Coturnix japonica: one gene and its partners. The protein of the gene in region 6 purifies or fractionates together with the protein of the main gene of each other region. This does not show direct contact. Links are inferred from orthologs where the notes say so. Each region holds a gene or a part of one and is shown on either strand. Other genes may lie near its edges.

Region 1 (2,804 bases), on a different chromosome or scaffold from region 6:
AGAAAAGGCTCAACCCTGAGACAAGCAGGGAACCAACCTGCTCAACCCCCAAGCAGGGAAAGGAATCTGCTCACAAACTCACCCTGTGTGTCTGTGCCCCAAAAGAAGCCTGCAGCTGCTGCAAGAGATGGAGAGCCTCTGAGCACCAAGCAGCTGCAGCACAGCTCATACCCTGGTGCCAGCAAGCAGCCCCACCCTGCCAACCAGCAGCTGCGCAAACCATCACCCAGGGAGAAGGGTTTGTTACCTGCAGCTCTGCTGGATTTGGAGATGCAAATGTCTGTGTGCAGCAAAAGACAGAGAAAGGGCTGCTACAAAGCACAAGGCCTCTGCCCAGTGCCTCTTTTCTCCTCACAGGGTATTAATTCACATGGCAGTACTGTGATTCAAGAGAACCAAAGGAAGGATCTGTGCTACCAGGTCATCAAGTCAATGCCCAGTGCTGGACAAACTAACATAGACTACCCACACGGCAGCCCATCCTATACAAAGCTCATTTATTTGTTCCCTGAACAAAATCCCAATAGGCAAAGCCTCATAGAAAGCCAGACTTGAAACCAAAGCAGCAATGCAGGCCAAGTATCTGATCTGCAAAGGAGCACAAATAAAGACATTAAACTGTTATACAGTACAAGACTACTACGTATTGTCAGCATGTTCATAAGTGCTTTAAAGAAGGCAATCCTCATCATAAAAACTCTTTTTCCAGTGCTGATGGAAGAACTGATTGTTTTTAACAATTCAAACCATGTAGAAAGTGTCTAAAAACACCATCATCAAACCTCCTCCTTCCAGCATACAAAAGGAGACACATTATCAGCACTTCCTAAGTTAAAAATCCATTTATTTTAAGGTTTTTTGTTTTGTTTTTTAATATAAAATAACATCACAAGACTGCTTTTCACAAAGGGCTTACTAGAAAGCGATCCTATAAAGTATCCTATGGTCATGCAAATAAAAAGGAAATTGATAAAATGGAGAAGAACTGGAGCTGGTGACGCTCCTCTGTTATTTTTCCTGATGTGAAATCCTTCACCTGGGAAACGTTACAGCAGCCCTTGACGTTTCAAGTCTTCGTAGGTCTTTTTATTCACCACATTCCCGCTGGAGTCCTCATATTCCTCCTGAAGTGGAATGAACAGTTTAGAGGCATGCAGCCTGGCTCAGGTTGTGCTACAACATTCACAGTTAAACTCTGCTTGCATCTGAGCACAACCACTCTGCCAAGAGCCTCTCTATATGAAGACATGCACTGGATCTAGAAGTGAGCTCAGGAAGATCTTATCTAGATTCAGAATAATTACAGAAGGCTCTGAAGTGCACTGGAGACCTCAGCCTGAGATACAGCTTGTGTTAGAAACTCTCCATCCAGAGCCACTTCATGCAAGATAGATGAAGGCCCCCAAATACATTGGACTAGAAACATCCCAGTGCCTTTATCATCTTACCTCTGTATCAGGCTGCCACCTCTCTGAAGCCTTCTGTAGCTTCAGCTTTGCCCACACTGTAAATACAAAGTCATTCACAATATGAGCACCGTTTCCCTTCAAATACTGGGTTTTAAATGACTAAAATCCATCAGCTTTTAAAATAAATAAATACAATAAACCCCAAACACTGCCACTCCTGTGCCTTTCCCCATGTACTGCAGGCTTTCAAAATCTCCCTAGAGGCTCCATCATTTCTGAATGTTTTGCTGGCTTCCCCATGGAGACTGTGATGAGTAACAATTAAGTACCAGTTGCATGGGATCACTCAGTCGTGCTCTGAATTAATGGTGTCCCGCTACACTTGGCTGAGATTTCATACATAAAGCAATGCAGACAAAACAGCTGGCAACAAAAAGACACTTGGCTGGTATTCCTAGCAAACATCTACTTCTGTAGGCATTCAGCAAGAAAACAAAAGAACTGGGAGAGATGTTCCAATGAAGGGTAATCCCAGCAGCATCATGCTTCTTACACTCCTTCCTTAAATAAGCCACCAATCATGGGGTAATACATTTTTGGCCAGAGTTAGTAAATACCAATTGTCTTTGTAGTATTCCCAGTGCTGTGTAAAGAAATGCCATCAAGACTTACGTGAGACAGCATCCTCAATCTGTGTGACATTGGCAAAATGTGCAGTGTTGGGGATGCCCAGGCATCTCATTCCATGAGCATGACGCCACTCCTGGGAACGAGAGGAAAAAGTCACTGAGAAGAAACACCAACTCACCCACAGTGCCTATTATAAGACATATTGCAATCTAAACAGTGTAAAACAAATACTAACAAAACACAGATCTCCCAAACACCTTTTTTTTTCTGATGGTAACAAGACACTGACTGCGCTCTGCATCAATCAGGCCTGGATATCAGTGTTCAAACAAGAGGAGAGCGGACAGAAATTGGCAGAACCAATAAGCTCCTTAAGCTCTCTTCATAAGCTCTGGATATATAAACATTATCTGAACGTGGCACTGATGGCTCCTGTGACAAAACATTACTTACAGCAAAATGGCGTTGAAAAGCTTTGGGCCCTCGGTAGGTGTAGTTACCACAAATCTCACAGTTGTAGTTGATGTTTAATCCGTGTAATTTATATAACCAGTACGGGATTGGCTGAGAAGGAATACAAAGAAAGATTAGGCCAAGTGACAAAGGAGGTTCAAATAGAAGAGAAGCACTGAATTAAGTGGAATCTCCCACTTGTTCAGAGCTAAATCCAGACCTAACAGTCTCGGTTACCTTGCCATCCCAACCAAGAGGCAGATTTTTAGGATTATAAATGATTTCATTTTCTTCATCTTCACTCTCGCTCTC
Region 2 (2,791 bases), on a different chromosome or scaffold from region 6:
TGAAAACATGATTGCCAAAACAGTGACACCTCGAGCTAGATTTTTAAAATCAAACTTGCTCTGCCAGATCCAGTACTCTGAACTTGTCCAGGTTGTAGAAACAAGCCTTCACCACTCGGCCGCCAAAGTATCTTCCATTTAGATCCACAACAGCTATAATTGCAACAAAAAAAGAGGTCAGCAAGCAGCAAATCAGCGACTAAAAATCTGAGTCCAATGAGCGAGACTGTTTAATCTCTTTGAAGAAATGAACTCTGAAATTCATATGACACAGTTTAATAACCTACCTTTAATTGCAGACTCAACCCGTTCAAATTCCAAAAATATTCTTACAGCTTCATCATCAGGGGCACCAGGAATCTGAAAGAAAACCCAAAAACAAAACAAACCCCAGCAGGTCTGATTAGAACAGTAACAAAACCACTGCATCACGCAGCACTTCTTCACAAAAGCAGAATGTAAAATTAAGCCAATGTAATTCAATTCTTCAGTTGCCAAAGGGAGGTTGAAGACTGCTGAACTTGGGTCCTGTTTCTCTATGGAAACCTTTTGAATCAGCTAGGGTGAAAAGTTTCAGTAATCGAAACTTAGAAGCATCTCAAAGTGAAAGATTAATTTAGCAGGAGGAACTAGAAAAAGTTCCAAAACACTCCAGGATTTTGCTATTTCTGACATTCAGAGTTCACGCTTCACAAATATTGGAAACATTGGAATCGCAACACAACAAAGGACCCTTTGAAATCCTTTAATCTATGCTGCTCCTTCACAGCAGTAGTGTGCAAGTCATGAAAGACAAATGGCCAGTTCAACCTTTGGAGTAACCAGAACAAGAGAAAAAGATTCTGTCTTACCTCAAAGATGACACATTTCCCAACCTTGCCATATTTTTCACATTCTTCCTTAGTTTCAACTTCCAGATCTTCATCCACCTCACCAGCACCCACCATATTCTGAAAGTTTAAACAATAAACATAAGTCATTGGATGCAGCCTGAATAGACAATCATGTAGATAAATCACGGATGCATGCAACGGTGACTATGAATAATTTAAGCTATTGTTTACCAGGTCAAGAACCATTTGGTCACATTCCAGAGCCTAGACAGTTCCCTAATACTAAGACACTGTGACATGGTCCCTGCACAATCTAAATCGGTGTTGATTTACAATTACAAATTGTATGTTTTCCTGTGATAGATTTTCTCCACAACACACAGAGCACCATGTAGGTGCAGTTCAGAACTGTCTGAACTGTACAGAGTCACTGTAACAGGAATGCAGGTTTTAGCGCTTAAATCAGTTGTGAGTGCTGGAAATACCAAGACACAGCTTTAATCACAACTTACCCTTAGTAGGACCACTTTAGTTGGGCATTTCAGTATCTCAGTCAGTGGATTAGAATCTGCTTTCTTGGTTGCATCTGCTAGGAAGAGAAAAAAAGTTAATCATGGAATCATTTTAGACTAATGCTCATATGAAGGCTTTTATCAGAATCTTACTGTTAGCAAACAGTGAAATAAAAACCACTAAGTATAGTTTAGTACTGGTGAGGAAGAGTATTTCAGATCTTGCAGCTACTTGGAAGGTCAATATGCAGAAAAATCGCTGCTACAAAGACCATAGACAATGTCTTATTTCCTTGAGGGAAATCATTCATGAGTTGAAAACTGCATCAGATGCACTAAGAATTAAAAAACAGATCTCCTGACTTCCAGCACTTGAGTTCAGAATTGTGCTGTTCTACTAAGTGGAGATGCTGTTTCTAGACCAAACAACAGCAGGGAAATGAAGGCATTATCTAACACACATGATGGGGGAAAAAAGCCAGCAGGAGTGCAGCAGGATCACTCACTGAAGTGAATGTACAGGTAGAAGGTTTCAAACACTAAAGAAGGACAGCTTCAGGGGGAGGATGAGTTAAAATAATAGAAGACCACTTCAATAAAATGTCGTGAAGGTAAGTTCCCACAAGAAGGAGAACCTTGTTCCAACTAAGTAGTATTTTCTGCTAGAACCAAGGGCTAACAGAAATCCAGGATCTCCCACTGACTACAGACTGTTATTTCCCACAATCATTTTTCACAGTTATTGGTGCAGGACAAGATTACCTTTTTCTGTAGCATCACCAACAATGATCTTGCCACCCCTCTTGCTTGTTTTCTCTACAGAGAGTGCTGTGCTCAGCCCCTGTTCATGCTTTCCCAGGCCTTGACCCTCTCTGAAACCATACTTCTGCATGATTTTATGAGCTACTGTCCCTCTGCAAAAAGAAAAAAACCATCAGTTAGTAAAGGTTTCTTACAATAACATCATCATTTCATTTCTCCAGAGCGTGCAAGTACTCAAAAGTTGCTCACACTTTTCCAAACACATTCAAAGTTCTAGTAGCAAAGCAAGTCACACATCATGCCAAAGTTCATTTAGTCCAGTTTCTGACCTTTTGTCAGTGGCTGGCTTCAAAAGTCTGAGAGAAAAGGCAGATGTGGAACCATCTGCTTCCCCCATTAGATCACATTATACTACCTACTGTTTTGATGTCTGCATAAGATCCAAAGCACGTGGTTTTGTTAGCACTTCCTATAACAAACCTGGATATTCTCAGTATTAATTAACATGGCTCTTCTTTCTGGATTTTCAAGAGTTTACTAATGTAACAATTCTCTAATCTATTAAAAGTACCATCTTTGTTGGCATTTCTTTGGAGCACATAGCTGGATAGACCAAGGCATCAAAGAAATGTCATGGTACAGTAATTTACACCACAGTAAATAATGTACACTAAGTCACTTCCA
Region 3 (4,041 bases), on a different chromosome or scaffold from region 6:
GTGGGTTTCATTTGCTAACTCAATAGTTTAAATAGTGGGGAGCCTACTTAAAGTTCAGATTCTCAGGTCTTTTTTTCTGAGAATTTGGATGTACAAAGTCGAGACGATCCCTTTCTTTTCCAAAGGTGTAATGACTCTGAAGTTGCCACCCACAAAGAGAAGAGGTGGAGCTGTTGATCCTGCTGTTAAAGAGCGCATTTGGCTCACTGTCCACTGGCCTTGTGGTCGTCCTACAGAAATTGTATCCAGCTCTTTTGGGTAAGTAGGAGACAAAGCAAGTAAAATTAATTGTACATTAATTCATTGATATTTAAAGAACAACTGGCAGGAAACACTGACACCCCCATCTTCCTCCCTTCCTAGTATAGCAAGATAGAGGACAGGCTAAGAGTGTAGGGGAAGTTCAGTCTTCTAGAAGGCTGTTATTTGCCCCACAATTCATTTAATAATCTAACTGAATACTGACTGCTAATGGTACTATTTGTGGTTTTTGCCCATTTAATGGAAGCAGTTGACATTTCCACTTCCAATGTGATTAGGAATGGATATCTGTAGGGTAGTTTTATCTCTGTAGAGGGACGTGTAGTGCATGTGTGTCTATCTGTATTACTCTCACACTTGCAGTATGTGCGTGAGCGCTGATATGATTTTTTTGAAGTGAAGAATGAAATATACACACTTTACGTTTCACAGAGGAGAACTGCTACACTGGGATTTAACTCAACCTGGAAAACGCAAGTGGACACTAATGGGATCTTCAGAAGGGCAAAATCACTCCCGTATTGTGTTCAATTTGTGTTCCCTGAAGCATCAAGACAAAGAGCTGCTTCTTTCCATTTCAATGGACAGAGATGTAAGAACCCATTTTAAAATTAACATCAAAATAGCAGCGGCAGTTCAGTTTGACTGAGTGAAACTAGCACTTTGATGACCACACATTTTCTCCTAAAGCAGGCTTATCCCTGCCCTTTATAACATCATGGCTCAACATTTCTTCTGAGCACAAGTTGTGCATTTCTTTGTTAGCATGTAAGCTCAAGCTTTTACCTTGGAGGACAGAATGGTTATGCCCTCTGGACTTGAAAAATCAAACGTTTAATAGCTGCCTTTTTTGTGGGGGGAGGAAGGGTTGTTATGGTTTGGTTTTGATTTTTACAGGCAGCACAGTGCCTCCTATTTTGAATTTAGAAGAGGACCATATAATTAAACCATAGCCCTGTTCCATCGCAGTCTTGCAGTTAATACAGCTCTGTCTTTGACTCATACTGACACGTGCATACTCTGAGTCTTCCTCTCACTTGTGCTTTGTTTTTCCCCCCCCATCATACCAGTCACTTTATCATTCGTTGTTCCTTAAATATTCTTTAGATAAAGTGCTGGGACCTATCAACTCTAGATTGTAGCTGGACAATGCCTTCACTTGGGGGATTTGTCTACAGTCTCGCCTTCTCCCCTGTGGACCCAGGCTGTCTTGCCATTGGTGTTGGAGACAGCATGATCCGCGTTTGGAATACTTTGTCTATGAGCAACATCTATGATGTGAAAACCTACTGGCAAAGCATAAAATCCAAGGTTACAGCAGTAAGTGTGCTTTACATTCCCCTTTTTTCTTGTCTCTTTTCTCACTCCATTTTTCTCTTTGAGGAATGTTTTTCTCTCACACTGAAGAAGGTTTTTTCCTAACTAAATCCTATAATGCCGAGTTGTTACTTCTGCTCTCAATTTGCATGATATAAATTTTAGAATTGATCAGCATTTTAGACATTTTTAGAACAGTAGGTATTTACAGTACACATACTGAAAATCAGCTGAAGTTTAGGTGGTTATTGCCTCACTTTCTTGGTTTTGTAAACAACTGTGATCATTCCTTGTGTCATCCACAGTTTCCTTTTGTTTGCTAGGAAGTTTAACATGTAGAAAAACTGGCACTGATGCCTTCAGTTTGAATTTGAACAGCAATTGGCTAAATACTAACATCTAGTAAACGATGGCAGCATTACAACATGTTAGTTGATCACACCAAAAGTATGACTCTATGTTGTAATGTAGCAGTCAGGTAGCATTTCAATGATTTCAGTTCCTTTCCTCTTGTCCCAGTAACTGTTAAGGGAAGAGTCCTTGATTCACATCACAATGTGGTTAAATTGAGTTGCTGTAGTTAGCATGGTGAATATAAGGGACAGTGCTTTTGATTTCAGTGCTTAACCTGTTGTTTATTATTTAAAAATAAATTGTCAATTCCTTTTGTCATTATGGGGCTCTTTGTACTTTTCTTGCAGTTAGCATGGCATCCAACTAAAGAAGGTTGTTTGGCTTTTGGAACAGAGGATGGAAAGGTTGGCATATTTGATGCCTTATCCAGCAGGTAAGAAAGTAGTTTTCAGATTCATTAGTATTCGATCTTGCTGGTATGGCAGCACACATAGATGACGTGGTCTTTCCTGAGGTTTACATTTGATATTTGTTAAAAGTTAAATTTAAAGTAGTCAGATGTATTTTAAGTGTATCTTTTCATCTGTTCCTTGTGACTGGCAGCTCTTAAAGAAACCTTACTCAAATTGTGTAACAGTCACCTGTTGGAAGTCATCAGTCAAGGATGAGTTAAGCCAGAAAAAGTTCCATAAAATGAGCAACATGCAGATGCAATTCATTAGGACAGTTTTGTTCTGATTTTAGTAGTGTTCTACAGGAAGCATCAAAGGCTTGGCTGAGCCATTGCTTTAGTATTTTGAAGCACCTGTCGTCTGTTTTCACTACTGGAAATACATTAGTTTGAATTTTGGGTTTTTTTTTTTTTTTGCTTGTTTTGGATTTGGTTTAGTTTCAGTTTGGTTTTGTTAGGGGTTTTATTCTGTATTTCCCCTTGCTGCAATCAGACTACTCCTGTTTCCTTACCTTCCTGCACAGTGCTAAGAATAAGCCCCCACAGATCTCCAGTACTTACCACAAGAAGACTGTATACACATTAGCCTGGGGACCTCCAACTCCTCCACTATCTTCTGGTGAGTGTTATAATGTCTTGTTACAAAGTAGAAATCCATACAGAGCACACAGATGCCACAAAGTTGGTGTGCTTCCCTTCCTTATGGATGTGAGCTCCATCTGCTTGGTAGCAGTCCTTTCTATCCACTAAGGATGCGTTCTGCCTGAGAAACTGGTAACAGTTTTGCCAAGGGAGCAAAATAATCTGTTCTGTATTTTGAAAGGTTCGGGAAGTGGATGGGAGTAGAGCACAACACCACATAGTTACATGTTTGTAATGCGCTGAAATAGCTATGTAGGCTCTCCACAATAATTGGTTAGGATCAAGTACAGATTATTTAGCTCTAACTGTTTTTCTGTCATTAAAACTAAACAGAACAGCTCCATTTGTCTTTTATGCAACCTGGGGGGGTTTATTGGCCAGGATTTAAAGGGAGTTTTAATGTGTGCAGCAATTGTGCTATGGAGAATGAATGAGGGGTCCTTTTAGGGAATTGTATTTTGAGAATTTCTTGCTGCCAGATCTCAGAGAATCAAAGCATACATACAGCATTTTAAAATACTGTTTTGATTTATAGTAAGAATAATTGCTTTTCCTAAGACTGACGAAGAGCATAGTATACTTAGATTTTTTTTTCCTCTGTTGAGTAGGAGAAGAAGGTGAACATCCCTCTGTAACTTTATATAGTTGTGCTGGAGAAGGTATTGTTTTTCAACACAACCCTTGGAAACTTAGTGGAGAGGCAAATGACATCAACAAAACCATCAGAGACACTAATTCAATTAAAGTGAGTATGATTCTTGCCTTTTTCTATGGATTTGTGGTTATAGTTCTGTAGCCCATAGTTGTAGGCTTTTGAAGTTTCTTGGAACATGCAGAACTTACTAAGGAGCATAAGGAGGTGGAACAACAAGGTCCTTTTGGAATCAAGACATTTCATTTGACACGTTCCACTGCGCTGGATGTAGCCAGTGATTCTTCCATCATCTTGCAGTTCATTCAGTCCTCAATTGCCCAAACTTATGTCACTACTACAAAATGCAGCAGACACTTGGGTG
Region 4 (4,818 bases), on a different chromosome or scaffold from region 6:
TCAGCACCAGCTATCATAATTGTGATGTGTACCACCTTTGGCTGTTCTTACTCTGAGCGTTCTTGCTCTTTTAGATCTGCAAATTCACATTTGCAATAGTTCCTAATATGCAAGTTTGCTGGTACACATCAATGGTCTTCTATAGAAGATTTCATCCAGCTATCAAAATACCTCAATTCTGACTTGCTATCTGCTCCTCCAGCTCTATATTCTCTATAACCCTCCCTTCCAGAGCAGCGAGCTGCTCTACATCTGAACCTACAGATGAGACTAGAGCACGAAAAATACCTATTAGGAATCAATATGAATTGGTCTATTTAACTGATAAACTGCCAAACAAGTTCTTTGGTCCCACAGACAAGACAACAAAACTACTGCTTGTCACAGCACTTCTAGATGTAGAAGGCAGTACCACCAACAGCATTTCTATCCACATATAATACTTAGATACTAAGAAAGATGGTGCTCCCGCCAGATCTACTGACTAAATTCAGACACGGGCTTGCCCTGCAAGACCTCTAGAGAAAATATGGGTGCTGCAGAAAATTAAAGCAGCAGCTCAGTCAGCTAAGTACATTCCTCTAAATCAGAGCTGTTTGTCAGCACACTCTGCTGACATCAGGGTGTGCTGGAGATGGTGTTTGCAAAGGATCCAGCCCCAAAACCACACAGCCGATACTCTCCATTGGGTCCATACTCTGACACACTGCAACCGCAAGCATCACGTTCTTGCATTTCCCTACAGTCTTTCTACTACTTCATTGGCAGTTCTTCATGACTTGCCCTCACTATGATGGATATTATTGAATACCTAGAGAGCGAGCATCTGCCTTGTCAAAGGACGAAGGACACTAAGGGCTAATTTTACTGTAACACAAAAGTAAACATGGGTGGTGATTCTGTAGGCCTTATGGTACCATATATGCCAGTGGCATGATCATACCATGTATGGTATGATCACGGACACAGTAAGAAGCTGATCCTGCCACTGCCTTTGCAACGTCTAAAGTGTCTCTGCTGCTGATAAAACTTTGGCTGAGAGATTTAGTAAGATAACAGCTGAAAGTGGTAACAAGCAGAGCGTGGAGGAAGTGAACTGTGAGTATGCATCGTAAAGCACACAAGGATCCTATGGGATACAGAATCGAGGCACTGCTCGCTACCTCAAAGTGCTCCACAAACACTGGGAACCACCGACAGAAAAAGAAACATGCAAGGAAATGAAAACCAGTGCCAGTTCTGGGAGAGGAACCCAAGCATCCAATGTCCTAACATTAATATCACTTGCTCTAAGTCCCTTTAAAGATAAGCATAGCTATTAAACAAAGACATAAGCAATTCTACAGGAGACTGGATGACAACGTACATCTTTTTCCTGGATGGTGCACTCCTTGCAGTAGTAGGCATCAGACACCCCTGGGCCCCCGCAGATGACGCAGCGCCCTTGGTACGAGCCGTAGTTACACTCATCACATATGCGCACCAGGGTGCAGGGCCGCACGTACGAGTCACAGATCACACATTTGCCATCACCTGCAAGTACAGCAGTCTTTGGTTACAGAACGTCCTTTTCTCCACCCCACATAAAAGAGGAAAAGTCTGCTGGACAAAGAACTTGCCTGTATGCTCAAAGACAACGCAGTTAGACTGCAGAACTTTAGCTTACAGGCACAAGGTGCAACTTTATATTTACACAGACTTCAGAGGAACGAGGGCCAACAGCCAGCCATATCCAAGGCCAAAAAAAGGGCAAACCGGCATAAATTGCCACTTCACAGAGTTGCTCTTGCTTTCTCACAAGGGACTGAGAGAAATACAAGTGCTCTTATCATACAGGCAAACAGCCATCAGATGCCATGGACAGTCTCTGCTCTGCGGGCCCCGATCCAAAACTCTGACCTCCAGATGAAAGGCTTCAGATCTTATTACCAGTTCCCAAGGTATTTAATCCTGACTCTCACAAACAGCTCATTTAACCTGCTCTTCAATCTCAGTCCCAACTGCCCTCAGCTACTACCACTGGGAATCCATTTAACTTCTGTGTACTTCTGAAAACAGTTCAGTTGCTTCAGACTGTGCTTCTCCTCACTTCGCTTGTTTTTAACATTTTTTGGAGCCTAGAAATAGCTGGCTTACTTGTACTGAGCTCCTGCAAGGATCTAATGACCAATTGTGCTTATTCTTTTCTGCTATAGGTGAGCACGAGCACAGAATTATAGGGGTTGGAAGGGATCTCCAGGAATCAAGTCCAACACTTTGGCCAAAGCAGGTTCCTTGCAGTAGGTTGCATAGATATTTGTTTTTGCATATTCATCTGCTGTAGCACTTTTTTCCATCCATTTCCCATTCTAACAGATGCTGAAGGGAAGCTGTGCGGTCTTTTTCTCGCACTTGCTCCATACACTCAGGCCAACACACAGGTCACTCCTCCCAGCCCAAGCTGCAGTTACCTGCTATTTCTATTTGGTTGTGACCCCAAGTCAGCAGCAGAGCAAAAAGAGAAACCGAGCTGCAGGCACTTACCACAGAGTTGGGTTCTCAAACAACTACACGCAGAAGATGTACTTACATTTCTCACAAAGCCTTCCAATTGCTGTAAGGGGAAAAAGAATGCGAAAAAACACATATTACTTGAGGCTACATTTAGAACGCAAATACAAGCGACGCCTGTCCTCAGGGCACACCCACCCGGCCCACAGTCCCTCCGCACGGTGTCCGGCCAACGGCTCCCACCGGCCATAAGGAAACCCGCACTCAGCGCCGCATCGCGATCCCCAACCACATCCCTGCGGCCTCGGGGAGCGCCACGAACCCCGAGCTCAGAGGGCCGAGGGAAGAACGAGGAGCTGCGCGAGGGGCCTGACGGGCACCTAACGGGCACCTAACGGGCTCGAACTGCCGCCCGAGCCCACCGTCAAGGTGCGGAGGGCCACGACCGCGCCGGTACTCACCGACGCCCGCCTGCTTGCGGCAGAAGATGAGATCCGGATGGTGCTTGGCCATGGCGCCGGCGACACTTCTCGGTGCTCTGCCGCCGTGTCCCGGTCCTGTCAGGGGTGTGGAGAGCGTCCGACAAAGCGGCGCTCCGGGAGGGGACACCGACCCGTAACCGAGCTCCGCATGGTGCTTCAAACCCAATCCGCCTCGCTGCTCCCTTCAACGCGGGGAACGCCCGTACCCCCGCCATGGGAACGCCGCTCTCTCCTCCGGTACCTCCCTGCCAGGACCCGCTGGACCCCGCCCCCTTCAGCCTCCTCCCGCGCCAGAGGTATCAAAAGGGCGGACTGACGCCATCGGGGCGCGACTTCATCTTTGTCAGTGCACAAAATGGCGCCGTACTGCGTCCTGGCGGCTCGGCTGCGGGTGAGCGCCGCGGGACGGGCGGGGCCGGGCGAGGCCGGGCTGGGCGGTGGGGTGAGGGCCGCTGCAATCCTGGACGGAGGGCAGAGGGAGCGCGGGGCGGCGGGCGGAGGCGTGGGGCCGGGTCTCCGCTGTCTGCGCGTGTAGGTCAGCGCGTCCCCGGCGCGGCCCGACGCCCGTTTCCATGGCGATGGCGGGGCCGCACCGGCGGAGGCGGCTCGGCCGCCTGATGGGCCTCGGTGTCGGGCGGGTCCCGCCGCCTCCGGGCACCGCTGAGCCTCAAGGTGAGCGCAAGGTGACCGCGCCCGGGTAGGCCGAGATATCGCGCCTGGGGCCGTGCTTCCTCCTTCCGCGGGCTCCTCCTCATCTCGTGCCGTTAGCAGCCTGTGCCCTTGGCTGCCCGGCTCCAGGACTGCGGCCTTTCATGTGGATGGGAGTTCCTAGATCTGTTTGTTAAAGGGGCCGTGCAAGGCCAGGCGGCCACATCAATTATCTTTTTATTATTATTATTTTATTTTCCAAATGGCTTGAATCTACCTTCATAATGACTCTCCCAGTCTTCTCCATTGTGACCTCTAAAACCCACGTCTGCTTGTGCCCATCACGGGCACTACAGTACTAAGGGCATTATCCCGTTTACTATCTACTCACTAATAAACACTTGATTGTTTTTTAAAGCCTAGAAGGCAGTAGAATGCCATTTTCTCATGTAGTGCTGCTTGCTGTGCTGCCCTCAGTACGTGCCACATGGTGAAGCTGAGAGCTCGGACTGCTCCATTTGCCAGCTGTGACCTTGGGGAGGGTGTTCCCTCTACCCAGGGAGCTGCAGCAATAACCTTATCAGAGAGTCACAGAATAGCTCAGCTTGGAAGGGACACGTGAAGGATCGTTGAGTGAGGTGCTTTGAAAGCACTTTGTGAAGAAGGCAGTGGGCGTAATACCAAGCTTGCCAGAGTTCAAGAAGTGTTTGGACAATGCTTTCACACATAGGGCCGGCTTTTTGGGTGGTACCACGTGGAGCCAGGAGTTGGGTTTGATGATCTTTATGGATCTCTTTCTACTCAAGATATTCAGTGATTCTATGGTTCTTACTCACATTTTATGTTATTACTTTGTTGCTCTCGGTGCAGATGTCTTAGAAAAGGACTGTTTTTTAAAGTAAAACTTACAACATGGCATCATTGCAGTTATCTCAGTGTATTCATCGTTGACTGTTAAATAATTGCTACTTTGCACTTTGAAGAGAAACAACTACTGATAAAACATAAGCAAATATTTTATTAGGATAATGGGTTGTTTCTCCTTTTATGGTATGTGCAGTCACGTCAGGTCAAGTGGGTGTGTACTTAAGTGGATATGTGTCAGCACAGCAAATGCATGAAGTTTAGACCTTTGGGAGTATTATATTATTAGATTCAAAGTAGGCTTTTTTTTCAGTTTAAGGGACTGTTACCAATC
Region 5 (3,859 bases), on a different chromosome or scaffold from region 6:
ACCGCCAATAGAGAACAACCCTCCCATCCCCTCCATCTCCACCCCATGAATAAAACCCAACAAACAACCCATAGCTTTGGGTTGTCCCAAAAGAGCAGAGGGTGCCCAAATCACAGCGCTGCTGGGGCAGCAACAGACAACCAGCCTTCCTTGACCTGCACAGCTTAATGCCACCTCGCTGTTTGTGCTACGTGCATATCGAAGTGCAGCACAGATCTGATCTATTTTCTGGACCTATAGGCTCCCCAGGACCAAGAGATGTTAACTGCAGGACAGGGAGGATAAGACCATTTCCAAGAGGGTTCTCACTGATGAGGCTTAGGCTCAAAACCTTCTCTCTACACCCATACATGGACACAGACATTAGCACACACAGCTGTGTTATGCTCAGGAATAACTGTGGCAGTAAGGAAATTAACTAAATCCTTTCCTTGCAGCCTATTGTATGAAATACAAGCATTTCCCAGAGCAAACACTTTGATTATGAAAGCCAGCATTTCTCCATAACATATTTAAGACCAGAGTGAACGAAATCCATCCAAAGAGCCTAAATCCCAAAGAATGAGAGCTGCCACAAACAGGATCCTGCACTGAGATGCACGTTTATTAAAACAAATCACAGGCTGTACAGAACGAGAATGAAGCTGCTTAGCATGCAGCCCCAGATCTCCTTTATCACAACTGACAGCCACGCACACTCATACTGAGAGGATAAAACTCCAAGTCAAGGTCAGTGCAAGAGGCTCCTAGATATGAGACAGAAAGAACAAAGGGCTTAGTAAGTGTATCAAGAAGTAAATTTTCAATTAGGGGGAAAAAAAAAGAGGTTAAGTGAAGCAGCAAATACTGTAGTCAGACAGATGATGTTCTTGGTCAGAAAATCCCTCGAATAAAGATGGATCTAGACTAAGCTGGGCATGACCTCAATGTTGCTTCATTAGGAAATTCACTGTAGAGACAGCAAACCTGGACACCATCATTCTAGCTAAGCAAAGATCACTGACAGACTGCTGCAGCTACACACTAGCTCACTACATGTACACAGCTTTCAGGGCTCTACCAGCTTCCCCCTCTTATCAGCCACCCAGGTATGGGTTCATTGTCTCCCTTTCTAATCTAGAGCTGGTAGGCAGTCGACAGCTTGTCACAGCGGCCCCTAAAAGGCTGGAGGATTTGAATGGCTGGGGTTACACAAGTGGCAAAGCAGCCCTGTTACATCTCTGGATTCCAGAGCTCCTATTTCTTTCTGCCTCCTCTTTCTTTGAGTGCCAGGTGAATCAGAGAGCCACTTGTCATGTTGTAATAAGCCAGGGAGTTTGAATCCTTGATGAAGATGCCCTGTGGGGAAGACAAAAATAAAGGCAGTCAGGGTACAAACCTTCATGGTCCACTCCCACAAAGCCACACATAGACAAAGCCTTCCTGACACTGCTCTCAAAACAAGGTGATGACAAAAGTGCTTTAGGCTTTGAAAAAGCCTGGAGAGACCCCAGTGTCTCAAAATTGGCACTGGAAGAGGTGGGTATGCTGAGAATTACAGAAGAGCATAAACAGATGATATACAATTGCTGTCTACAAACAGACAGACAGAATCAGTCACGAATGAAGCTACTCAGGTCCCCTCCTCCCCTTTTTCGTTCTTTACAAAATTAGTTAAGCTTTACTTCTTGCTAAGGGTTAACATTATCTGCCCATAGCCTGATTCCAAAGGAGGTAAGAGCTCAAAGTTCACTGCTTAGGCAGCAGGTTGAGCTGTGCACATGCATGACTGAAAACAAGTTACTAATAAGGAGCAGTGCTTTTCTAAAAGCTCCAGACTCGAGAAGTTTCCTTCCTCCACTGCTTCAGAGTTCCCAGGGTTTCAATGTACTCTTGCTCACCTCTTGAGCTCACCACAGAATGACAAAGGTAAGCTGCTGCATTTCAAAACAAAAAGAACCTCCAACCAAGAAGTCCTTCCACAAAACAGGCTGAATTTCAGAGCATACCATCAAGCCTTGAGGCCTCATCCTCAACAGTGACAAAGTGAAGATGCACTGATGCCACTATTAGAAGCATGTCCTGCATCAACAATGCACAGCGATGTAACCAAGTGTGCTGCACAGGCGAAAACATCCATTCCCTCTGCTCTTTTCTGTGTCTTAGTGGTATAACACTTTCTTGAAGAAAGTCCATTTTATTGTGAAAAAGCACTGAAATACAAGCAACGTTGAAGGGCTTGTTACCCACCTCATACTGCAGCTTCTGTTTCCCAGCTGGCATCCCTGTGGCCTCGTGGATCTTAACCTTTATAACGGACACCTAGGAAGAAACAAAAGCCTTGTTCAGACTTTTTCCCCCTATACAGGTGGCCAACATGAAGACCTCCACCACACAACCCTGCCTGGCAAGAAGCCACGGCGTGGCAAAAATGCAGAATTTTACAGCTCCTGTAATGCAGGTCAACCCCTGTTCTCAATGTGGAAACACTCCGTAAGAACACAGCAAGGGGTAAAGACCGGGTTAATAAGCTACATACCTGGTCTGACAGCGGTAGGGTGAACACCAGCACTTGGCCATTCAGCTTCCATTCGGTCTTGTCCTGCATGTTGGGGACCTGGACTTTGACTGTGACTGGGCCCTACGGGAAACAAAGATAAGGTCTTTCACAGGCAAGGAGTCTCAGGACTGCGATAAGAGCAGCAGACAAAGTATTTACAGACCTTCCCAATATTAATCACATATCTTGAAAGTCAGAGTATTTTGCAGTGAACACGGTGGTACTAAAGAGATGGCTTCATAATGCAAACAAATGCACAGGAGAACAGTGCTCCCTTCTTAAAGGGCTTAAGACCCAACCCAACATGATGCTGTTACTCAGAAAGGAATTCAGTCTAACATTTCATTCATGTTACGGAAGATATTACATTGCCATACTACCATGTTGACATTGATATATTAAATCTCCTTGCACCTCCAGCTTAACAGTCTTCTACTTAAAAGCTTATCAGCATTATCTCTTCTTTACATTACTATAACCCTACTTCTCACTGCTGTTAATTACAGAACAGCACCATCTGTGTGCAGCACTACATCGCTCCTTGTAGTAAAATATAGGGCAGTTCAGGTATGACAGTAGGAAGGAGCCATCTCAGCAAGTCACTTTCTTTTGAAATACATCAGCTCCCCTCTGTGTTCTCAATGGACTTTACAACCCCTCTGAGCACAGGAGGCTGAACAGCTCAGCAGGGCCAGGACTCCACTTCTCAACAAGCAGAGAGTTCACTCGCACACATACCTTGTTCCTGCGCAGAAACTCCTCCTCTGGAATCAAGCTGTCCTCGCTCTTCAGTTTCTTTGAAACTGGCTCATCCTCCATAGGTGGTGGTGGGTGAACAGGAGGCATTGGCGCTGGGGAAGGAACTGGAGCCACGGGAGGTGCTGGAACAAATGCTGGAATGGGATGAGGGAAAGCACAACACACAGTCATCCACTGAGCATACAGCAGATACTCCCTTACACGAACTCTTTTAGCAGACTAACAAAGACTGAAAATAAATGTTGCCATTCATGCAAGAAGTTAATATAGCCTGCAGTACCATGCGAACTTCAAACATAAGATCTTCCACAAGGGGAGAGAGTCCAGGAAAAAAAACAACAAGCAGAATGGGAGCTTCCTGCAGATCTTGCAGAAAAGAAAACGCTCTGAATTTAGCAGCCAGCACCTCAATTTAAATAAAAAGGAAAAGGGAAAAAAAAAACCAAGACAGAAGTGTTTTTATGTTGTGCTTAACTTAAAACCACCACAATGCTATGCAGCCACTACAAAGAACAGAGCCAGAGCCAGATAACAGCTTTTCCTCTGGCAGCAGTAACTTCC
Region 6 (4,713 bases):
TGGCAGACAGGATAACTGACCAGCAACCACGGATTTCTAGGACACAATACTTTCTGTTTTGCACCTTCCAATTGAATATAGATCTGTAAGCTGCTCAACCTTCTGACTAAAATGTGAGGTTTCATGCAGGTTAACTTTGCAGCTGCTCGCACTGCTAACGTGCACTTGCTTGGGAATTTCTGTATTTCCTGTCATTTTGTCCATTGTCTCTGTGCATGTCCCAGTGTTTACTGATGTGCTGCATAATCACGCTTGACACAGCAGAACAGAGCAGTCAAAAAGTGGAACCAAACTACAGAAGACAAATCCACCCACATCATACACATGCTTCTTACTAGCATGTGATTCCTCCCCACGCTGTTGAGATGAAAACATTTTTATACAGATAGATCTGTGTGAATTTAACAATGCTACAGTCTTAATACTGCAGGATAATTACTGTGAAAAGTCTGAAGCATTATTATGTGCACGTGGACCAAATCAAAGCTATGAAGATTGCATGATGCTATGAAACCAGGAACAAAACTTCCACTGTACACTGCTCTTGATTACCGTCTTGCTTTAATGCAGAGAGCTGCTCTTAGAAGAATAAAAATGAATCTTCTTACAGGTTTCATAACAAACAGCTGCAATAATAAATCAATGCCAGGTATCCTCGATCTCAAGTAAGGGACTGGAAAAGAGCAGTGGATACAAAGCAGTGTTCAAAAACTCTTGTCTTCTCTGCTTTGCTTCTCCAACACTTCTTAGAGTCTCTGGAAATCAGCTACCTGTTAGTTGCAAGCATGATTCCAGCATATTATATTGGTGATGTACTGTAACTGCCTACTAAGTTGCCAGAGGCATTCTTGCTAAGAAACTTGGAATAGTTTGTACAATTCTTCAAGCTCTCATGGACTTTTAAACAAATAACTCCTTTTGTGAATAGAATAGTACTGTACCTCTCTGGGGATTAAGAAAACAAAAGTAATCTAAATAAATCTAGGGGGGAGCCTGAGGAATGAATGTTGCTTCTATTCTGAATCAGCAGACAGACTGAAATCCCACCTGAGGAAAGGATGGCTTTCTGCTTTATTGCATTCAAATTCTTCAAGAATAAATCAGCAGTGCTTAGAGTGACTCTGAGCAAGTATGAGTGCGGCACTGAAGAATTACAGAAGCCATGAATCCTTCCTTATTTTCTGTCAGGTTAAGGTTTTTTGTGTGTATGTTTTCATTAGTTTCTTCTCTATGAGCAGCTTAAAGACTTCAAAAGAAAGTCATTCATATTATGTCACTCCAGAAGACAATCAAATTCCCTTAGCTACCCTGATTTGATAACAAGTAAGTAGTTTTGGACTTTGTAACTAAATTATGAGTCATGTGGACTGTGTTACTGATCAACGCATAAAACACATGCTATACCTTTCTAAAAAACGTTTCAATACATTATTCACGCCTGGATTTCACAGACATGCTTTATGTTAGTCGCTTATAAAACAATAAACAGAGAAAAGTGCCGGGAACTGCTGTCTAACACTATTTAGACTTGCGGTGTGTATCAAATCAAACCACCATCTTGGAGCCCTTCAGGATCCAACCAACAAAGCACCGCGCATGCGCCGCCCGCCATCGCGATTCCGACGCATCGATCGCTCCGGGAGCGGCTCTGCGGCCTGCGTCGTCACGGCGGCCATCTTGGCTGCGCGTGTGCTTTGTCTGCCGGCTGATCGGCGGCCGGCTTGAAGCATGGACATCAGGCCGAACCACACCATCTACATCAACAACATCAATGATAAGATTAAGAAAGAAGGTAGGGGGGTGGGGGGGGGGCAGTCCGCTCATGTCTCGTCCCGTTGCTCTCTGTTGAGAGGCCGTGGTTTGGCTCTGAGGCGGCTGGTTGGCCCTGATGCCGTGCCCTGAGCCTCCATCAATAACTGTTTATCATCATAACTTTTAACTTCAAATGCTCTTCGAGGCCTGCAGGCGTTACTGAGCGGTTTGTGGTGGGTGTCAGCAGCAGCTGTGAGTGGTGCTCATACATAGCCGAGCTGTTTGTCCTTTTGTGTAGTTATTACCTATATAAAGTTAATACAGAGTTAGTACGGTTTCTTCTCTAGCTGAGTATTGCGAAGCCAATACACCTCCCTGCTAAAACTGGGCGAATATGCATTTGTACAGCAGTTCTAAGCTTGTGTAGCTTACTGCTGTGAGGTAAAGGTTGCAAAGATCAACTGAGGGACACCATATTCTCTGTGTGAGTATCTATCTCTGTAGATACAGACGTTTGCGTGCAACCCATTATAGTCTTTTTGTGTTTTTTCTTTCTTGTTAACAGAATTGAAGAGGTCCTTATATGCATTATTCTCACAGTTTGGTCATGTGGTTGACATTGTGGCTTTGAAGACTATGAAAATGAGAGGACAGGCTTTTGTTATATTTAAAGAACTAGGATCATCTACCAATGCTCTGAGACAGCTGCAAGGCTTTCCATTTTATGGGAAACCGATGGTAAGTTATTTTCTTCCTTCTCTGTGGAAAATAACATTACTGTGGTGTGTTGCAGTGTTTTGGTACTTGTGCCTTGGGAATTAACTGTTAGATGTACTTGCAATTGTGCTATTACGCAGTAATGTCCTGTCTTGACAAATATATGTATTTATACAAGCTTGAGGCGCACTGGAGAGACAGTAATTGAAACACACAGTGAATTGAAACACACTTGCAGCCTGTTTGGGTAACTGGGCATCTCCTAATTTGGGAGGCTTATATGTGCAAACGGTCCACTTCAGTGATCTGTGGGTACACTAATACTTTCAGCTCGTGTCTTTGGGCGATAAGGAGAGCTATACTGTTGTTTTGTTGAGGCACACACTTCTTTCATGAATGCTCTCAGATTATCTAACAGTTCCTGGTGTATGGGAAACTGTTGATCACAGCCTGAACCTCTGATTAACCACCTGAGGCAAGCAATGAATCAGCTGTGGGAGCACAGATGAAGGTAATTCAGCTGTGCTGCCAGAAGCATGTGAAGCTTGGCTTCACCTCTCCCGGATCTCATTTAAGGGCTGACTACTACTAAGGCAAGGTCTCTTTCTCTGGAGATCACTCCTTTGACCCTTCAACATCAGTGAGCATTTTCTATTTATCACAGATTATCTTTCTATCACAATAATCTTTCATACCAAACACCTGTTTAACCTCTGTTTACCTATTGACTGTATAATTAACTGTATAATTGTATAACTGTATGCTAAGCAACTGTGCAAGCTTAGTTCTGTCACTTACCCTTAAAGGCCTTTGTGTTCAGTAAAATGCAGTAGAGAATTAAAGTGCATTAAGGCATTATAAGCATTCAGGTGCATTTCCCTCTTTGAATACTGACTGCAGGATGCATCCTATGTCTAGAAATGGACAAAGGATAAAAAATAAATTCAGCTGGTGGAGTAGTCTTCAATAAGTGATAGGATTGTAAAAGTATACACATGTGTATATATACGTGTGTAATGCTGTGCCCTTATATACTCGTAGCTCCATCATTTGTCTTTCACTTGGGCACTTTCAGGAAGCTCTTGTCAGAAGAATAGCATAGTTGTGCTGCTGATACAACCTATGCGGTCTGGGTTGAATTGAGGCAAGTGTTTATTCTGTTTGTTTATTCTGACTTTTACTGAACTCAGTTTTCTGCAGAGATCTGAGATCACTGGAACCTTATCAGCTCCACCCCCCAGGCTCAGATGCTTTATCCCCCTAGGTTTTTTTTTTTAGTAGCAGCTGGTGCCAATTTTGTTAACTGATGTTATATAGCTTTGTACATCTGCTACCTTGACAGACACGGTAAAGATGCTGTTAGCTGATTAGAGTGCCGATTCCAATGAGGGTCATAAAATTAGTAATCTCTTCTCATGAGAGGTCTATCCTGGTTTTTAAAAGTTCTTTAGTTGCGATCAGAATTAATCACAGAATTACAGAATGACCCGGGTTGGAAGGGACCTCAAGGATCATGTAGTTCTATCCCCCCTGCCTAGCATAATTAGGCATAATTAGCATGTTACGTACTCTGTAAAAATATAATTTAAAACAGTGTTGCTACAAATGTATTGTGTGAATGAAAGAGAATGCGTTCAGTGAAGTTGGTGTGAGATTTTCAGTATAACAAACAGTACAATTTTGTTGTTTTTTTCCTTTTGAAAGCGTATTCAGTATGCCAAAACAGACTCTGATATCATCTCTAAAATGCGCGGTACTTTTGCTGACAAGGAGAAGAGGAAGGAAAAGAAGAAGGCCAAGTCTCTGGAACAGTCAGCTAATGCAGCAAATAAAAAGATAATTCAGGTAAGGGACTTCTGTATTTCCAAAAAGAAGGGAAAAAGCAATTCAAACCGTACACCCTCTTTTTTGGTAATGTAATGTTTTGGATCTTTTTAGGACTAAGTACTTTAAGTTCTTTCAATTGTTGTCTCTACATTTGTAGTGTTCTTTAGCACTCATGAAAGCTGCAGGATGGAGTATGATTGCATAGTCTTTAATGCATTTTATTTTATTGTTTTTATTTTTAATGCTTTTTTTTTTTCCTCGTTCCTGTTGTAAGATGAAAACTAAGGTACAGAGCAAAGGTACAATAAACCAATGTAGAAAGTAACAATATGTATATGTTCATATATGTAGAATGGTAGATGGGTAGAACATTGTGATCCATTTGCAGTTAGATGAGAAGGAGCTGGCATGGAATGT
Region 7 (4,692 bases), on a different chromosome or scaffold from region 6:
CAGCCTCGGTTTTATGTGAGGTCTGTAACTACACGAGACAGAGTCCAGCTTTTGCTGCTGTAGGGCGATGGTTGTGTTTGTAGAAAGCAGCAGGGTGTGGTTTGCTGGCACTGCTTCTCCTCACCCCCACCGAGGAGCCTGAACTGTGCAGGGGGAAGGGAGGACGCCGTGTTGCACTGATCCACAGAGCACACGTGATAAACGTGAAGCAAAAAGGTGCGTGTGTGTATCTGTGTGTGTGTGAGGAGCAGCAGGATCCGAACCTCAGCTTCATCCGTCCTGAAGTAGAAGAGAAAGTTCACCACGAGCTTCACGAGGCGCTTCTTTAACACTGAAGAAGGAAAGGAGTGATGTGACAGCGAGCCCAGCGTGTGTGGGGCCCCCAAACCATCCCAGCACTCCCAGCATCTCCATTTCCATCCCAGTGCTTCCACCCCAGGACTTCCATTGTCATCCCAGCGCTCCTATCCCAGTACACCGTTCTGATCCCTGTGCTTCCATCCCAATACTCCCATCCCAGCACCTCCAGCTCCATCCTAATACCCCAATCCCAGCACCCCCAGCTCTGACCCAGTACTCCCATCCCAATACCCCCAATTCCATCCCATTACCACCATCCCAACACCCCCAGCTCTATCCCAACACCCCCATCCCAATACCCCCAGTTCCATCCCATTACCCCCATCCCAATACTCCTGTCCCCACCCCAACACCCCCAGCATTATCCCAATACCCCCATCCCATTACCCCCATCCCAATAACCCCAGTTCCATCCCATTACCCCCATCCCATCATCCTATCACCCCAACACCCCCATCCCCATCCCACCCCCAGCTCATATCCAATACCCCCATCCCAATACCCCATCCCAAACAAAACCCCAGCTCTGCCCCAGCACCCCCATTCCAACAGCCCCATCCTAATACCCCCAGTTCCATCCCAATACCCCCATCCCAACACCCCCAGGCTCTATGCCAATACCCCATCCAATACCCCAGTTCCATTCCCAATACCCCCATCCCAATTACCCCAATTCCATCCCTTACCACCATCCCAACACCTCCAGCTCTATCCAACAACCCCCATCCCAACACCCCAGCTCTTGCCCCAGCACCCCCAATTCCAACAGCCCCATCCCAATACCCCCAGTTTCCATCCCATTACCCCACCCCATCCCACCCCCACCCCATTACCCCCATCCCACACCTCAATCCATCACTCCCCATTCCCACCCCCAATTAACCCCCCCATCTTCCACCCTCACCCCCTTCCCACCCCCCCCTCTACCGCTGCCCCTTCTTGGGGACCCTCATCATGGATCTCTGCCGCTTTCTCTGCCGGTTGCCTGGACAGGACAGCAAGCTCCCGTTCGTTGTACCTCATGTCGGACCCCAAACGACCACCCCAACCCTACAAACCACCCCTAACCCTACAACCACCCCAACCCTACAACCACCCATACCCGACCCGGTAGTGCTCTATCCGGAACTAGAGGGGATGGAAGGGGGAGGGCAGAGCGCATGCGCCGGGAGCGGGGCTGAGCACGGCGGTATGGGGGATTTAGGGGGAGGGGATGTGGGGCTTAAAGGGGGGATATGGGGGAGTGAGACCCTCATTGAGGGGATGGGGTGGTCTGGAGGGGGGTCTTGGGCCCTGTGGGGGATTGTTTCGGGGCAGTGACCGTCGCTAAGGGAATAAGGGCCTGTGGGGCCTATAGAGCCTGTGGGGCCTATGGAGCTTATGGAACCTGTGGGGCCTGTGAGGCCTATGGAACCTGTGGGGGCTGTGGAGGCTGTGGGGCCTATGGGGCATGTGCAGCCTATGGGGCCTATAGAGGCTGTGGCATATGGGCCTATTTGGAGCCTGTGGGGCCTATGGAGCCTGTGGGGCCTATGGAGCCTGTGGGGCCTATGGAACCTATGGAGCCTGTGGGGCCTATGGAACCTATGGAGCCTGTGGGGCCTATGGAACCTATGGAGCCTGTGACCTGCACTGGAGAATGAGGGGGGTGAGGGGGCTTAGAGGGGTTCTTAGTGGAGGGACAGGACCCTCCAAAAGGAAACTGGGGGGCTATAAGTGGCATGGAGAGTTCGGGGGGTGTTTGTAGGGGGCTTTGAGGTGAGCTTTGGTGCTCGCTGAGGGAATGGGGGTGTTTAGAGGGGGGTGAGGGGGTGTCTGGGGGGTTGTGACCCCCATGTTAGTGGCTGGGGGGTGTGTGACCCTGTGTGAGAGGGTAGAGGTGGGCTGGGGGTGGTTTTGTCTCTTGCTGAGGTAATGGCAGTGCCTGGGCCGTGTCCTCGTGGCAGGGCTCAATGCGAGGCCCAGCTTAGGGCTGTGTTGTCACTTATGTGTCTTTTCTTCATTTTTCCAGACTTTTATTTTATTTTTCTCCTGAAGTCTCCAAAGCCCAGAAATCCCCACCATGGATTTTCAGCACCGTCCTGGAGGTAAAACGGGGAGTGGAGGCGTAGCTTCAGCCTCAGAAAGCAACCGAGACCGCAGGGAGAGGCTTCGGCAACTGGCTTTGGAGACCATTGACATCAACAAGGTGAGCCCCAGTCCTGCAGGCTACATGGGGTGAGGTCAGGGCTTCATCTCAGCAGAGAGTGAGAGGTTTAGTGGGGATCTGTGGAGTGGAATAAATACTTCTGTTCCCACTGATGAGGGACTCGAGCAACATGTGGAAGGGCCAAGCAGAGGGATACCAGCACTGGGCTTCTGTTATGTTCAGTCTTGGCACTGGTTCTTATTATGCTGCAGTTGGGTGTGCTGTTACCAGTGAACACAACTGCTCTTGTTCCTTTTTCTCTATATTCCTAAAGCAGTGTTGTGCTGATCCCTTCACTCCATGAGCTCATAGAGTTCTTACAGTGCAGCTCTGCTTTAGAATCTCGGTTGTTCAGTTGTTCCAATGCAGATTTTACATGTAACTTTTCAATCCTTCTCTTCCTAGGACCCCTATTTTATGAAAAATCACTTGGGTTCTTATGAATGCAAGCTTTGCCTGACGCTCCATAACAATGAGGTGAGTTGAGCAGCTGTCTGTCTTGATCTCCATGGCAGCAGATATTTTAGACTAATTCTAGCTCCAAGTGCTGGAACCGAAGCTGTTCCCGTTGGCTGATTGCTGGAGGGCCAATGGGGGGAGCAGAGGCTGTGTGTGTTAAGCATGACAAGTTTCTGACAGTTCAGCAGTTGTGAGCAATCTGAAATTTGTGAGTTTGATTCTGCTGTGCTCTGAGGATTAAAATATCTTTGTCAGTGTGAAATGTCACCTCTCATCTGTGACAAATATCTTTCTGTTCAGGAACAGTTCAGTCTTCATAACTTTCTTTTCCCCCCAGGGAAGTTACCTGGCACATACGCAGGGGAAGAAGCATCAGACCAATCTGTAAGTCATTCTCCACCGTGTTATTCTCCATTACTTGGGCACATTAAAATTAGATAATGAGCACCTATAAATCTTGGCCTCCATCATGTAGTAGCACTCTGGGCTTGAATGCTCTTTGTCTCTGTTTGTTTCCTAGGCATTCACCAGCTCTGCTCTGAACAGTGGTGCTGACAAGCTCCACTTCAAAGCCAGCTATGGCATTTAGATTAAGTATAACTGTAAGGGAAGCTGTTTTATGAATACAGCTTGAGAAAAGTTTGTAAGCTTTAATCTAAGAATTCAGGTTTGCTCTGCTTTAGATACCTGGCTTGTGTAATTCATTTCCTTTTTGACTTTTAAGAAGTCATCTCAGCTCCATCTGTGGAGCTGGACATCAAAGTCCTCTTAGGAGTGGGTGAGGTGATGGAGGTGACAGATTGTAGTCAAGGCAAGGAGTGGAACTGGCCTCCCATGGTGCTTGTGGAGGAGGAGCAGCAGTTTCCCATTATGCTTTCTGTGAAGTGCTGAATGCTCCGTCATACAGAACTCACTCTGCCTTTTAGAGTATCCTTCAGAACCAAGTGCTGATAACCATTTAACACTGCGCGTTTCCAATGAACCCAGGGCTCGTCGAGCTGCCAAGGAAGCAAAGGAAGCTCCTGCCCAACCTGCACCAGAAAAAGTCAAAGTGGAAGTGAAGAAGTTTGTGAAAATTGGACGACCAGGTTACAAAGGTTTGTCAGCAGTGCCTGTCATAGCAGATACCCCGTGGCTGCTGGAGCTTGCTTGAAGTGCAGTGCTGTGGGCATGAATTGTTCATCAGCCTTTTTAGCAGAGCTATCCATAAATAAGATATGGGCTTATCTCCTGATGTCCTTTATTGTTTAAATTACCCATGGGTTGTCTCTTTATTGCTGACAGTCGAGTGAGAGCCATTTTAATAATAGATCAGTACGTCTCAGTCTCTGTCAGTTCTTACTGTAGTCATATGGGAGATGGTGGCATTGCTTCAGTCTCTCTTTCCCTTTTATTGTGCTCTGCCATCTCTATTATGGCAGAGCAATATACTATTGCTCACAAGTCACCCACTGGATGTATAACTCAGTTTTTTTCCCCTCTGTTTCATTTTGGCCTTCAGTACAAGACATGGCTTCTTTATCTCCATGCATATTGTGTCAGTGTCTGTGCCCCACAGCAGCTGCATTTCAGTAGATACCCTCAGGAACTTTGGCTGAAGGCATTGTGGCATTTTATTTAATAAATAGGAAACAAAATCCTGTCATGTTTTGCTGTTTGGATCTTCCTAGGGCTGAAGTAATACT

The links.
Region 1: the proteins of SNRPB2 (region 6) and SF3A3 purify together in Homo sapiens (affinity purification with mass spectrometry; 6 studies listed by BioGRID and IntAct, with this or other methods). This does not show direct contact. The link is inferred for Coturnix japonica from reciprocal best matches to the Homo sapiens genes SNRPB2 and SF3A3.
Region 2: the proteins of SNRPB2 (region 6) and RBM17 purify together in Homo sapiens (affinity purification with mass spectrometry; 3 studies listed by BioGRID and IntAct, with this or other methods). This does not show direct contact. The link is inferred for Coturnix japonica from reciprocal best matches to the Homo sapiens genes SNRPB2 and RBM17.
Region 3: the proteins of SNRPB2 (region 6) and GEMIN5 purify together in Homo sapiens (co-immunoprecipitation; 3 studies listed by BioGRID and IntAct, with this or other methods). This does not show direct contact. The link is inferred for Coturnix japonica from reciprocal best matches to the Homo sapiens genes SNRPB2 and GEMIN5.
Region 4: the proteins of SNRPB2 (region 6) and PHF5A purify together in Homo sapiens (affinity purification with mass spectrometry; 4 studies listed by BioGRID and IntAct, with this or other methods). This does not show direct contact. The link is inferred for Coturnix japonica from reciprocal best matches to the Homo sapiens genes SNRPB2 and PHF5A.
Region 5: the proteins of SNRPB2 (region 6) and SF3A1 purify together in Homo sapiens (affinity purification with mass spectrometry; 5 studies listed by BioGRID and IntAct, with this or other methods). This does not show direct contact. The link is inferred for Coturnix japonica from reciprocal best matches to the Homo sapiens genes SNRPB2 and SF3A1.
Region 7: the proteins of SNRPB2 (region 6) and SF3A2 purify together in Homo sapiens (affinity purification with mass spectrometry; 6 studies listed by BioGRID and IntAct, with this or other methods). This does not show direct contact. The link is inferred for Coturnix japonica from reciprocal best matches to the Homo sapiens genes SNRPB2 and SF3A2.

What each region holds. Positions count from the first base shown.
Region 1 is NC_029538.1:3,130,293-3,133,096, reverse strand, and holds the end of SF3A3 (splicing factor 3A subunit 3), read right to left. Parts: coding exon 2,730-2,804; intron 2,604-2,729; coding exon 2,493-2,603; intron 2,173-2,492; coding exon 2,082-2,172; intron 1,505-2,081; coding exon 1,449-1,504; intron 1,125-1,448; coding exon 1,047-1,124; 3' UTR 827-1,046; downstream 1-826. UniProt on the Homo sapiens protein: Component of the 17S U2 SnRNP complex of the spliceosome, a large ribonucleoprotein complex that removes introns from transcribed pre-mRNAs.
Region 2 is NC_029516.1:3,129,730-3,132,520, reverse strand, and holds part of RBM17 (splicing factor 45), read right to left. Parts: intron 2,260-2,791; coding exon 2,108-2,259; intron 1,423-2,107; coding exon 1,346-1,422; intron 951-1,345; coding exon 852-950; intron 361-851; coding exon 288-360; intron 154-287; coding exon 50-153; 3' UTR 1-49. UniProt on the Homo sapiens protein: Splice factor that binds to the single-stranded 3'AG at the exon/intron border and promotes its utilization in the second catalytic step. Involved in the regulation of alternative splicing and the utilization of cryptic splice sites.
Region 3 is NC_029528.1:6,015,712-6,019,752, reverse strand, and holds part of GEMIN5 (gem-associated protein 5), read left to right. Parts: intron 1-125; coding exon 126-258; intron 259-693; coding exon 694-853; intron 854-1,368; coding exon 1,369-1,581; intron 1,582-2,279; coding exon 2,280-2,365; intron 2,366-2,777; exon of another isoform or gene 2,778-2,907; coding exon 2,908-3,002; exon of another isoform or gene 3,003-3,633; coding exon 3,634-3,770; exon of another isoform or gene 3,771-4,041. UniProt on the Homo sapiens protein: The SMN complex catalyzes the assembly of small nuclear ribonucleoproteins (snRNPs), the building blocks of the spliceosome, and thereby plays an important role in the splicing of cellular pre-mRNAs.
Region 4 is NC_029516.1:45,262,873-45,267,690, reverse strand, and holds the start of PHF5A (PHD finger-like domain-containing protein 5A), read right to left. Parts: upstream 3,161-4,818; 5' UTR 3,004-3,160; coding exon 2,952-3,003; intron 2,836-2,951; exon of another isoform or gene 2,741-2,835; coding exon of another isoform or gene 2,689-2,740; intron 2,594-2,688; coding exon 2,570-2,593; intron 1,534-2,569; coding exon 1,367-1,533; intron 1-1,366. Other genes in the region: ACO2 (aconitate hydratase, mitochondrial), read left to right, coding at 3,328-3,363.
Region 5 is NC_029530.1:9,667,048-9,670,906, reverse strand, and holds the end of SF3A1 (splicing factor 3A subunit 1), read right to left. Parts: intron 3,433-3,859; coding exon 3,278-3,432; intron 2,621-3,277; coding exon 2,519-2,620; intron 2,302-2,518; coding exon 2,230-2,301; intron 1,339-2,229; coding exon 1,237-1,338; 3' UTR 584-1,236; downstream 1-583. UniProt on the Homo sapiens protein: Component of the 17S U2 SnRNP complex of the spliceosome, a large ribonucleoprotein complex that removes introns from transcribed pre-mRNAs.
Region 6 is NC_029518.1:2,368,565-2,373,277, reverse strand, and holds the start of SNRPB2 (U2 small nuclear ribonucleoprotein B''), read left to right. Parts: upstream 1-1,635; 5' UTR 1,636-1,728; coding exon 1,729-1,792; intron 1,793-2,317; coding exon 2,318-2,490; intron 2,491-4,173; coding exon 4,174-4,314; intron 4,315-4,713. UniProt on the Homo sapiens protein: Involved in pre-mRNA splicing as component of the spliceosome. Associated with sn-RNP U2, where it contributes to the binding of stem loop IV of U2 snRNA.
Region 7 is NC_029543.1:1,224,215-1,228,906, reverse strand, and holds the start of SF3A2 (splicing factor 3A subunit 2), read left to right. Parts: upstream 1-1,492; 5' UTR 1,493-1,549; intron 1,550-2,371; 5' UTR 2,372-2,422; coding exon 2,423-2,548; intron 2,549-2,953; coding exon 2,954-3,025; intron 3,026-3,344; coding exon 3,345-3,391; intron 3,392-3,994; coding exon 3,995-4,104; intron 4,105-4,692. UniProt on the Homo sapiens protein: Component of the 17S U2 SnRNP complex of the spliceosome, a large ribonucleoprotein complex that removes introns from transcribed pre-mRNAs.